Linked DNA regions of Caenorhabditis elegans. The protein of the gene in region 1 purifies or fractionates together with the protein of each later gene. This does not show direct contact. Each region holds a gene or a part of one and is shown on either strand. Other genes may lie near its edges.

The links. The genes of interacting proteins can lie anywhere in the genome.
Region 2: the proteins of pbs-4 (region 1) and rpn-9 fractionate together in Caenorhabditis elegans (co-fractionation; one large-scale study listed by BioGRID). This does not show direct contact.

Annotation. Positions count from the first base shown.
Region 1 is NC_003279.8:3,904,898-3,912,724, reverse strand, and holds pbs-4 (Proteasome subunit beta type-2), read right to left. Parts: upstream 3,979-7,827; 5' UTR 3,974-3,978; coding exon 3,871-3,973; intron 3,822-3,870; coding exon 3,526-3,821; intron 3,476-3,525; coding exon 3,409-3,475; intron 3,354-3,408; coding exon 3,211-3,353; 3' UTR 3,040-3,210; downstream 1-3,039. Other genes in the region: T20F5.8 (TPA-induced transmembrane protein), read left to right, coding at 254-496, 1,062-1,156, 1,200-1,235, 1,847-1,931; mrrf-1 (Ribosome-recycling factor, mitochondrial), read left to right, coding at 2,188-2,313, 2,358-2,477, 2,524-2,685, 2,731-3,039; magu-3 (Guanylate kinase-like domain-containing protein), read left to right, coding at 7,525-7,659. UniProt on the Caenorhabditis elegans protein: Non-catalytic component of the proteasome, a multicatalytic proteinase complex which is characterized by its ability to cleave peptides with Arg, Phe, Tyr, Leu, and Glu adjacent to the leaving group at neutral or slightly basic pH.
Region 2 is NC_003280.10:11,235,787-11,240,925, forward strand, and holds rpn-9 (26S proteasome non-ATPase regulatory subunit 13), read right to left. Parts: upstream 3,134-5,139; 5' UTR 3,133-3,133; coding exon 3,038-3,132; intron 2,989-3,037; coding exon 2,409-2,988; intron 2,360-2,408; coding exon 1,973-2,359; intron 1,923-1,972; coding exon 1,821-1,922; 3' UTR 1,661-1,820; downstream 1-1,660. Other genes in the region: cchl-1 (putative holocytochrome-c-type synthase), read right to left, coding at 1-76, 129-277, 323-508, 562-588; FUN14 domain-containing protein fndc-1, read right to left, coding at 999-1,107, 1,174-1,310, 1,363-1,533; T06D8.9 (Store-operated calcium entry-associated regulatory factor), read left to right, coding at 3,932-4,007, 4,057-4,286, 4,339-4,727, 4,782-5,037.

The sequences.
Region 1 (7,827 bases):
ATTTGTCTCCTCCATTTTTCTTATTGTATAAATGTTTAATCTCTGAACTTATATCGATGATAAAATCAATAAATATTGAAATTCCAGACGAAAACTTTCACTTTACTTTGTATAATAATATCTGCGAAACTGCATACCCCATTCGTTTTTTTTTCATCGTCGTGTCTCACAGTGAATGACTGATTGAAAGAATTCAAGAAAATGCAAATGTATTCTTTTGCCGCACTTTTCATTTTATTTTTGTTCTTGAAGAATGATGGCTGAAAGTGTGCAACCGACAGGTAGAGCTGTCAGGCGGCTTGAGCCACTTGCCATTGAAATTCCTGGTGAGCCGGAGCCCTCCAACTCATACGACGCGTTTTGTGATAGACACTTCTCAGCGGAGAATATGGAAACGAAGACAAAAATCTATATTTCGCTGCTATTAATTCTACCTTCACTGATTTATTTTCTCGTTGTTATCAATTTTCCGAATCCGAAAAGAGTTCATGTTGAGGTGATTTGGAAATTTAAATTTAAATTTGGACGCGGGGCAAGACACATTTTTGGATATGTTTTTTGAATTTTCAGTTAAAATTTGGGAGAATAAACTAAATTTAAACAAAATTTATTTTTATTGTTACACTTTCGCGAAGACAATATTCAAGGGAGATGCATAAATATTTTGTGTATGCGCCTTTAAATGTATTTCTCTTATTATTTTTTTTTCGTTGTTATCAATTCGTTGTTATCAAGACACAGGAAAAGAAAACAATGAAATTGAGCGTTCTCCTCCTCCAAACGTTGGGTCTCGTTTCACAAAACCGCGAATTGAAAGGTTTTCAATTTTTTTTTTTGAATTTATAGCTTTACCTAACGAGACCCAACGTTTATGGGCGTTTCCATTTGGCCGCGGGGCGCTCTTGCATCTTGATTTTTTTTTGCGTTCTCTTCCTTTGAAGTCTAGATTCGAATCATGCAAAAATATATAACATTCGATTTTATTTTCCGGGCCATTACAGTAACCCATATTCAAAGGCGCATGCTATTTTTCCGAATAACCATATTCTCAAATCTTTCAGCCATTTGAGACACCGACAGTTCTAAACATTACAACATTTTCTGAAGAGACATTATCCACTGAAGAGTACGCACAAGCTTTTGAATTAGCCGTCAAGTACGTCTTCTGCGATTATTTTTCCGCATTATTTTATTTTCAGGAACGATCAATTGGTTTTGCCAACTGGTGTCAGCAGGTTTGTGATGGGAAGTGAGGGGTCTGAAATTTCCTAATTTTTCCCTGTGGGTCCCGCCACGATTCACAACGAAAAATTCTGAGAGTGCGTACTGCGAAATATATTTGACGCACAAAATATTTTGTAGCGAAAGCTACAATTATTCGAATGACTACTGTAGCGCTTGTTTCGATTTACGGCAGGCTCGATTTTTTAAATGATTTGAAATTATTGATTTATCGATAGAATTTTTTAATGAGAAAATAATACAAAGAAACGAAGGAAAATGGAATAACGCTGTCACTTTTCGAAAATAAATTCGTTTCAAAAATTGAGCCCGTAAATCGACACAAACGGTACGGTATTTTAAGAGTTACTGTAATTTTCTCTGCGAGATATCTTGCGCGTCAAATAAGTTGTGCAATACGCATTCTCAGGATTTGCTTTTCCTGTAATAAAATAAATGCTGTATTTAGTATAATTCGCATTGATATAATATTGATCTGTGCGCAAAATACCTACCAATATTTTCGGTGTGAATCGTGGTGAGACCCTGTGCTCGACCTCGGCCCTGTTCTCTCATAATATAAAACAAGTTTCTATCGATCTTTCAGAAATGTTACAATTTTCAGTGAGACGATAAGAAGATATGTGGCGTCCACTGCAAGAAGAGATTCAAATGATGAATCGACAGTTTATCTGCTTCGTCACTCTTAAAATTTCCTTATTATCCTAATTTTGAGTTCATATTGTTTCAGAATAATGAATAGACACTTTTAAATAAAACCCCTGTTTTGAATTCCCGCGTTGTGTTTGAGACGAGAGTGTCTCTATAGAAGAGACGACAGACGGTTTACAAAATTTTTTTAAATCAAAAGTGCATTTCTCGTGAAAACAGTTTTATTTTCTCAATTTAAAATTCAATAATAGTGAAAATTAACTTTGTTAAAAAAATATACTTTTTACAGATTTAATGATTCGTTTAGCAGTAATTCGATTAGCCCAAGGTGCCTCTCGAGCTCAATTCCTTCAAAAACAAGCTCAAATCTTTACTTCTGCAGTTGTAAATGCTAAGAAAAAAGCGGACAATAAGAAAAAGGTTGGAATAAGTCATTTAGATTTATATTAAAAGTTATATTTCAGAATCCACCAGCAGTTTTCTCGAATTTGGAGGAAAACGCAGTCGTCCAGGAAACAATAAAAGAAATTCAAAGAGTTGAAGGATTACTTGTCGAAGAGCTCACAAGACATTTTTCTCTTAAAGTTAGTTTTTTAAAAGAATTGATCAAAGTAAAATAATTATTTCCAGGTAGATATTCGGCAATATGAAGATGTCATGGTCAAGCTTGAAAATGGAAAGGATAAGCCACTGTCCATGATTGCCAGAGTCACATTAAAATCTCCACTTATGATTATGATCAACTTCCAGGATAATCCATCTGCAATTAAAGCAGCAAAATTGGCGATTCAGGTACCATCTTGCCGTCCTTTTCATATTTTCCTTTGTTTATTTCAGAAATCAACTCTTAATGTAACTCCACAACAGGAGGGAGCTGTTTTGTATGTGAATGTGCCGCCGATGAGTAAAGAAAGAAGAGAGAAAATGGCATCTGATGCGAAGGGACGAATTCTCAATGAATACAAAAAGGCGATCAACGAAATCTATTCCAAAAGTGATAAGAAGTCGTCGAATGAGTTTTCCACGAGACCAGATGAAGCCAAGAAAACACGGGAAGCACTATTGAATATGAAGCACGCTGCTGAACAAAGAGGAGGTCTACTCATCGAAGAACGCCGCAAACAGCTGCTGAAACAAGTCGTTTAATTGTTATCTATCTTTTCAATTGCTCAATTTTAGATAGAATAAAATATGATGGAAAATACATTCGAATGTGTCAATAAATTAAAACGGAAGAAAACTGGGAGAAAAGTCACAAAAAAGGTTGCAGGAGAGAAGTGTAATAACCGGTGAAAAATATATTCCGGGGCCAGAAATTTAGAAAAGAACATCATCCAATTTGCGGTATCCCTTCTTATCGATGATCACCACTTTGTATCCCGGAATGTTGGCGACGAAACGTCTCTTAGCCTCTCCGATGCACTTGTTCATCAAAGCGAGTCCTTCAGCCTCAGTCATGTCTGAAAATCATTCAGTAAAGTTGGGAACATTAATTTAAACTTAATTAAAACTTACCTTTTTTGTATTCACGATCCATAATGGCATAGCAGAAGCGTCCGCAGAATCCTCGGAACAAGTACGGCTGAATAATAATTCTTTATTTTGACTAAAAGATAATAAATTGCTGAATACCTGTTGCCCGAGTCCATTAGCCAAGTAATCAACAGATCCTAGGAAAGCCTTGTCCTCCTTGTCATCATATCCTCCAATCAGAACATCGACAGTGTAGTGATCTTGCGAGCGGAGACCTTCGGCGATACTGCGCCGAACGAAGTGATGAGCACATGATGGTGAAACCTCGTAACCATTTCTGACCGAGTACAACTGAAGATTTCTCTTGGTCCAGTCTCCGAACTGTGCGACGTCTCCTTCCTCTCCGATGCACATCATTGTCAACTTCTTTCCCAGTCTATATTCCTTGTCGTTTTCTAAAATATAAATTTGAATATTTTTTGCATCCCGGATTCTCAGCCTTACCGCTGTCAGCGAGAATAGCGCCATAAGCGAAAGTGGCTTTGTCTGCGGCCAAAATCACGTAGTTTTCGGTGGAAATTCCCACCAAGAAGTGCATACCAGCCATCTCGTCTGAAAATAAGAATAATAAAATAATAAAATTCAACTTTCAGTGAGAAAAAAGGAAAGAAAAGCGACTTCGAATGCGGTTGAAACTTCAAAATTGCAAAAATGATGATTTCTGCATCTTGTCGTAATATTCGGTGTGCGCGCCCAATGCGCACTATTTGACGACGAATGTGTATACGGTAGGTGCTTTTAGAAGAAAAAGAGCTCTTTGGGAAAAGCTCGAGCTGGATCGACAGAAATAAAATCTTGAAAAGGCATGAAAACAAAGGTTTTTTAGAAGAATAGAAAACTTTCAGATTTTTTAACAATTATTCAGTCATTATTTTATATACTTTTTCAGTTAAAAACTTTCCCGATTGAATAATAAATTTATTATTAATAAAAATTTCCCTCATCATTAAATCAAGGTGCCAAGTGCATCAAGTGGTTGTGTAAATAATTAAAATCCCATATCGCAGCTTTTTGCAGGTCATTACTCTTTTCCGCGCACGCTTTGCTCGGCCGATTATCCGCTCATTATCGAACCGATTTTCTCGTCATAAATGAGCCGATCCTTAGACCACCACCATCTGCTCTTCGAATTCGTTCTCACTTATTCATTCATTCTTCGGGTGGTGCTGGTGGTTCGGCGCAGATGTCGTTATTACGAGAAAAGAAGTGCTCGAGCTATCCGGAGAGGAGGCGGATTTGTGTCTCCGAGATAATTAATCATTGTCTTCTCCGGGAAAAGTGGAGGCAAACCATCGTTCGGATTACACCATTCCAAACCGCACTCTTCGAGGCCACCCTGGTGTGTTTATAAACAAAGAACTCCTCTATTAAAGAGTCGCCGATACAATTTCATGGTCACCAGGTCATGTTGTTCCGAGGCAAGATGACACTTCATTTGCCACCTATTCATGAATCTTCTTGTGGTTTTCCGCAATTTATCCTGTTCTTTTCTAGCTTTCTACGTGTACAGGAAACTGCAATTTTACAGCGAGTAGTTTGTCTAAAATTGTGCATCGAGGTCCTGGCTCGAGCGAAACTTATCAACTACAGTACCCGCATTTTGAAAATAAGTAAGGTTTTAACAGTTAAATCAAAATATCTAAATACTGGCGGGGTACGATATTTGAAAAGTTTCGGTCGTGTCAGGACCCTGAAAGAAAAACAGTAAGCTACAACTTTTTTTGTTATTACCTGAAGATAAGATAATCACTCCCACACGTGGTGTCAGGCTGTCTCATTGCGGTTTGATCTACGAAAAATGCGGGAATATTTTCCCAGAAAAATTGTGACGTCAGCACACTCCTAACCATGCGAAATCAAATGAGATGTCTGCGTCACTTCTCCCGCATTTTTTCGAAGATCAAAGCAAAATGGGACTTTTTGACTCCACGTGCTCCCACCCTTCTGAAACAATTTAATGGCGCCACCAATAGAGAAATTATTTCAAGCTTTCCTTTAGTGATAAAATGAGCAAAAAATCATAGTGAAAAATATGGAGAACTCTTTGAAAAAAGTTTTTATTCAAAAAGTGACAATTACTACATAAATTTTGGAAGTCGACCAAAAATTGTAGGAGTTAAAAATACAGCATTCTCGAAAATATTCAGAAATTCCGCTATTTTTTAAATTTGGCAAGTTACCAAAACTTTAGCTGAAAATTTGGAAGTTATTGAAAATTTTTGGAATATCATTTCTGGGTCATTAACGTGTGTGTGCCAGGGGTTTGCGGCAATTGCCGTTCGGCAAATCGGCAAATTGCCGGTTTACCGTTTCTTTAGATATTTTCATAGAATTAGCTAACTTTTCAAAATAGATGTAGGAATATTCATAGGATGCGTACAATTTTGCCGATTAAAATTGAAATTCTGAAATTTCCAAAAAAAAATGTGCAAAACCACAATTTGCCGAAAATTTTCGGCAATTACCGTTTTTACGCCAAATTCGGCAAATCTGCCAGCTTGTCGATTTGCTGGAAATTTCCCATTCCACCAATTTGCCGATTTGCCGACTTGCCAAAAAAAATTGTTTGCCGCCAACTTCTGGTGTGTATAGACTACTTCCCTCCTCAAAATATGTACATCTCCAATTTTAAACCAAATTGTCGGAGCCGGAAAATTCGAGAATCGGCAAATTTTTCGGCAATCATCTTGCCCTAGAAGGTCTCGCCACGCTCTTTCCACTGCTTGGCTTCTTACTCACTTCAGAAGTCAACACGAGCTCCGTACTCAACCCATGTTTCACAATGTAATATTCAATTCACTGTGCTCATTCCACTTGCATTCTGCTGCTAAATTAGCATTCTCCCCTTTTCTTTTCTTTTTCCTTTCTTGTTGTTGTTTCTTCAAACAATTTTCAAACCCACTGCTTCCCATCGATTCTCTCTTCAATTTCTCTGCGTCTTCAGGCATAAGTAGTCGTTGCTCAAAAGAGAGAGAGCTCATGAATTCGTTTCCCATGCTCTTCTTCTTGTCGTTGAAACATTCACATACACACACATGTTAATCTGATATCCCTTCTTACGACTTCTGGTTTTGGTTTCTTTTTCAATTATTTTTTGGAAAGGATATAGATATATGTTTGTATGCTTTTTATGGGGAAAAGTTTACCTAGATTTGTTTGCTTTTAATTTCATTTCCCAATTCTTTCTCTTTTAGGTTTTTTAAAAAATCGAAGCGGTCTAGGCATAAGAAATTTCTTGCCTAGACTTGGGTGATTCGTTTTGTTTTTATGGAAGAGTTTGCCTAGAATCGACAAGTTGCCAGAATTGAAATTTTTGATGAATTGCCGGTATTGAGAATTTCAACTCAAATCGGCAAAATTGTACGTATCCTAGGAATGCTCCTACATCTATTTTGAAAAGTAAGCAAATTCGAAAATATCTAAAGAAAACGGGCAAATTAATTTTAAAAAGGCACAGTTTTAAGTGTTTCCGTCTCTAAAAACTTCCAGCAAATTGATGTTCGGCAAATCGGCAATTCGGCGAATTGGCAAATTAAATTTTCCAGCAAATCGGCAAACCGGCAATTCGCCGATTTAAAAACTATTAGAGGTGCAAAACTAATAGAGGCGCCTTACTAATAGAGAATATACGGTATTCGATATTGCATCTAATGTTTAGCTCATCCCAAATTGCTATAAAAATCGCTGAAAGGCTCAAAAATATACCCCCGTCCCTTTATTGGCAATTTCGCTTAATTTACGTGTACCGTTACACTTTCCGAAAATTCCTACAAGTCCATTCAAAAAATCCAGATTCTTCCACCCTTTTGTAGTTTTTTTCAGATGGCCTAGAAAAAATAATGAATTTCAAATTTCTGCCGGCCACGAAACCTGTAACAATTTTTGTGTACTTTCTCCCAAACAACCATTCTAAAATGCTCTAAGCCTCGAATTGCGTAGTCGTTTCTCACTTCTTGTTTGCCCACGCAATTTCTGTATGCTTTTCGATTCTTCTCCCCCTCCCGTTACCACCTTGTTCTTCTTCCATGTTTCCTGGTTGTTCACTTGTCACTTTTTTTCTCCCGGTATTCAACAAAAAGCACATTTTAAGATCGAAAGATGAGCGAAGAAGATGAGTTGTCTCAGCTGAGATCGAACGCCGAAAACTTGTCCAGATGTCTTCATGTTTTATTGGAAAAAATCGAGAATATCGAGAAGAAGAATGGAAAGGAGCAGGATGCGGATAGCACAAAGGTGAGTTTTGAAAAAATATTTTAAACTTGTAGGAACCATAAGCTTGACAAATTTTTCATATTAAGTATTGCCAGCGTTCAAAAATCCCAATGTTTGCAATTTACCAAAATTTTGGAAAATCTAAAATTCTTTACAATGAGGTGGAGTGGCGGCTATAAAAATATTTTG
Region 2 (5,139 bases), on another chromosome or scaffold:
GTTAGCGTTATGGATGCTGATAATGTTTTCCATGTCGCTTTTGCTCAGCGAGTCATCTTGCCATCTCCATCCTTTTCTGAAATTCAAATTTAAAATCAACAATAAACATTTATCAATCAAAAACTCACTTCAGCATGGCGTTCCAGAACATTTGGGGACTTGGATAGGTCCAGGTTTCAGTTTCTGTTCCAGCTTTCGGGATTGTAGACTTCTCTCGTTTCGTTGGAAGTGCGAATGGCTGATCTGGGGCTGGCTTTTGATTTGGATGTTCGAGCTCCTGAATTTTCAAAGTTGGCTTCAGAAAACTCTATTTTGAACTCACATTGTTGAGTGGATTGATAGAAGCCTTGTCAGCACCAACCGGGCAAGCGCCACCAGCTCCACAATTCTCTCCAGATGCAGCAGCTCTCTGTTCAGGTGTTAATGGGCATTGAGATCCTCCTCCAGCAGCAGCCATGCTGTGTTGAGCCTTACGAATTCTCTCAGCATCGGCGTTGGCATCTTGCACCTGAAAATAAATTCATACGTGTTTTCTTTTAACTGAAATTATAGAAAACTCACCTTTGGCGTCGATTGTGAAGAGCCCATGATGTAATTTTATCTGAAAACTAAACTATAGTTGGGGAAATGACGGTTAAATAGGCAGGTGGCGCACGGAAATGATGAAACTAGAGAAAAAAGGCCTTAAAAATAAACTACGCGTCATACGGGCCGCGTAACTACGGAGTGTCGTTGCAAACTTACGTTTCAAAAAATTTTCAGCACAAAATCGAGTTCAAAAAGAGAAAAGTTATGGAATAAACCATAAGTTTTGCAAGAATTAAAAGATGAGAAGGTAAGGGTGTATAATTTATCAGTCAATGTGAAGAAAAAAATAGACAGCATGACTAGACAATGGAGAGTGAGAAAAAGTTATTTATGCATCATATCGAGCAACTCGATTATAAATAGTACAGATCGTAGATAAAAACCAACTGAAGCTTCACAATTTTCCACATTTAGGCGACGCTAAATCCAATCAGCATCCCAGCTGCGAATCCGCCAAGAATCCACCGGTATTCGGAGACAAATGAATCGGAAATGTTGATAACTTTCTTGCCGGATACTCTGAAAAATTGAATAATATACGATTTTCGTTTTATTCTATTTTTTTTTCGTAAAATTCAAGCTTACTTGTTCATGACGGACTTGTGTAGATTTTTCATGTCTCGTTCGATTTTTGATTCGTTCAGCGTGATGTATCCTTTGTGAATAGCGAATTGAGCCAACAGGAAAGAGATTCCCACTGTGGCAGCAACAAGACGTCCTCCCTGAAAATATTTAAAAATTAAATATTTCTCTAGAACCACCAATTTTAAATACCTTGGTGACAAAATATCCAGTCACTGTCCCGAATCCAGCACCAACACCCAGCTGGACCATCGGCTGCTGCTTTTTCAGATCAACAACGTAGTAGAGGACTGTATCGATGGCATCACTCACACCTTTTCCGGCTTTTCCACTGCCTCCGTCGTTTTTTGAAAGATCAACCATGGCTGGAACAATCACAGTACTACATTACTCGAAGACGAAGAGAACCCGAATGTTAAGTATTGAAAAGTACTAGTGAACTATTGACACGGTGTTAGTCACATCTGACATCGAGAAAATTCAATATATTCACAGTCGATTAATTTATGAATTCAAATAAATACACACAGAAAGAAGACTGAACGATCTTGAAATTGTAGAATACACGTAGCAGTGTAATTATAAAAATAGAGGATTCCGGGATTGGGATGGGGGAGCATGGAGAAAATAAATTAAAGAAATGAGATGATTTAATTTTGAGTGAGAATCTCGCGTGCCTCTTTGCTGACGATTCCTTCCATGGAGTTGACATCGTTCCTCCATGCGGAAATGCGAGTCGCCATTTGCATTATCTGAAAAAAAGAAAATAAGTATTTTAAAAACTTATAATCAATTCTTATACCTGAGGATTATCTAAAACTCTTGGCTGCACCCATGTCACGTAGACAACTTGCTCAACTTGATTGATATCTCCACGAATGAGATCCTTGCTCAACGCCTTCATCACCAAGAACTCAACTTCGTCGAATGGGATCTGGCACTTCGTGGCGATTTCTTTGAATGAAACGCTTCTGGCTTTGGTTGGACGAGAGACTGCAAGTTCCATGACAGCCATCAGACGGATTTTGGCAGTCAGGAAATCCTTTTGCTTCTTCAAATCGTCCCAGCCTCCCCAATCTCCTTCGAGCGAGAAGAAGCGCGTCAAATCTCCCGAATTGAAGGCAAGAAGCACGTCCACGATCCAGCGTTCACGAGTTCCTTCGAGCGATTTGAGGATGGGGTGAGCAAGCTGAAAAAACCGTTTATTGGGGGAATTTAAATTGAGAGTTTCAACAAACCAATTCTCCGAAGTTGTGCACGTTTTCTCCCAGAAGAGCAGCGAAACCGAGAAGAACCGCATGGACTTGCTTCTGTTCTGTTGTCAGATTATTGGCGTCCTCAACTCCAAGATAACGAAGAGCTTCGCGATAATATCCAGCGAAGTCTCCAACTTCACGAAGATATAAAGATGAGACGCGGTAGAACGGGGCATGAACTTCTGTAACTCCGACAAGTGAGTCCACTTCGTGTTGTGTCGAATCGATTTGAGTTCGAATGCTCTTCAGATCAATAATCTGTCCATTTTTGTCCTTGTTCTCCAGTCTGGCTTCAATCTCTCCGGTATGAAGTCGAGCAACGGCAATCTTGTCCTTGTTGATGACGTTTCCAATTTTTGACAGGAATTCCATAGATTTTTGCTTGTCCTTTGTCGCGATATTTTGGGCGATCGAAATGCAAATCTCGACGAGCTGAAGAGGGTTGACACGCAGCTCCCACTCCGCCACGAACAGTCTGTAGAATTCGTGCATGTCCGTTGAAGCCACAAATTGTGGCTTCTTCACAAGGGATCGTGTCAGAACCGTTAGTTGATGCCAGAGCCTGAAAATTAGTGAAATAGTTTGTGTCTACAAAAACAATTGATTCTTACTTTTTCTCCCAGAGCTCCTTGAGATTCTTCCAGTCATCGGCCAGAGGTCCATTGGCAGCCGCCAGCTTTCCGTTGAGGTAGTCTTGAGCAGTCATCCTGAGAAATTCTCGATACATTAAAAATTGAGACGAGAAATGAGTGAAGAAGAAAGAAAATGAAGGAGTAGGAGCAATCAAAACAAAAATGGATTTCGAATAGCTAAAATGAACATTTTTGGCGAGCGCGCTCTCACAAAAATCAAAACAAAAAACTTTTTTTGAATTTTATTTGTCAGCAATTAAAGGCGCATGGCCTTTCACTTTGGAAATATCGAGACGCGAAAGACAATGTTTTCGGTCACGGCCATATGTCTGCGTCTACAGTCTCTTCAACATATGCGATAGGGCGCGCTTGCAACAATTTATTTTTCTTAATTTATTTTATTGTTTTTTAACAGAAGATATTGTTTTTAAAGTGCGAACACCCTTCTCGATTTATCCGCCAGCTGGCAACACAGCTTTTCAGGTTTTCCTTCCAGATTTGTGTGTTTTCTTCTTGGTTTATAGCGAAATCTGATAAAAATCGCAACTCTGAATAAAAATTATGTCAAACAAAGGCGTTGCTGTAAAATTGTGTCCATCCAATAGATTTTCCTCGCTTATTCTCGTATTATCTTTTTTCTTGATTTGCAAAAAAATGATCCAAGTATTTCGAAATTTCTGAAAATTCCGTGTTGTTACACGTCACATATCCTATCATTCGTTTTCTTCATTATCATCTTTTCTCCCTTTCACTGCAACGCTTCAAAATTAATCTCTGGTGCTTCGTTCTTATCTTCCGGTACTATTTCAATGTTCATACTACTTTCTATTGATTACTCGTTCAAAATTCCTAATTGTTAGTTTCTTTTTTCAGATGATCTCTCGATTTACAACGAGTTTCCTTTTATGGATGCTTCTGGTGTTCACAGTGGTATTCTTCGAAACTTCTGGTAAGTTTTTCTTTTGATTATTTGTTTCAATAATACAAATGAATTTCAGCGGCCTCTGACAAAGTTCTTCTTCGCGATGTATCAGCAATTACTCTACACAAAGGAAAAATGACGACAGGACGACGAGTTTCTCCAACCTTCCAGTTGAAGTGTGTCGGTGGATCCGCGAAAGGTGCCTTCACCCCAAAGGTGGTTCAGTGTGCAAATCAAGGTTTTGATGGTTCGGATGTGCAGTGGAGATGTGATGCAGATTTGCCACATGATATGGAATTCGGATCCGTTAGTTTTTTAAATATTTCCATCTCGCTTCAAAAAATGTTTCTTGTTTCAGATCAGTGTTTCATGTGAAGGATACGATTACGCAGAGGATCCATACATCCTGAGAGGATCTTGCGGGTTGGAGTATGAGCTCGAGTACAATTCTGCGAGCGGTAACAGATCAGTTTCTCGAAAGTCATCCCAGGATCGATGGGATCAGTTCGCCACGTTCGTCGTCGTCGCCTTCATCGCCTACATTATCTACGCGATGTGGACTAACAGAAATCAGAACCCAGAAAGCTCTGGCTACACTTCTGGTGGATCAGGAGGTCCTGGAGGCCCAGGATCCGGCGGAGGAGGTGGTGGTCCAGGTGGTTATCCAAGTGCTCCTCCACCATATGACGACTACTCCAAGCCACCGCCATATGGGTTCCGTGGTGACTCGCAATCTGGAGGTGGATGGTAAGGAATTTTAAATAAAAATGACCTTATTTTCATTAAAATTAAGTTTTTCAGTCAGGGAAGTTCTAGCGGAGGAGCAAGTGGCAGTGGCGCCAACAATGGTGGATCGTTTTGGACTGGAGCAAGTCTAGGAGCCATTGGAGGATACCTGGCATCCAGCTTCCTCAACAATAACAATGCCTACGCCCGTCCACGATACAACAGAGGATTCTTCCAAGACACAGGCTTCTCAAGTTCCGATTCCTGGTCATCACCTTCTACTTCATCAATGCGCTCAAGTTCTGGTTACGGTGGCACCACGAGACGATAGTTTCCTTATTGAGATCCAAGAAGTACGGGTGCAAACAAAACTAGTTTTGCTTTTTCTTTGTCTTGTCCATCTTTTCGATAAAATCGAATGTACATTAGCTAG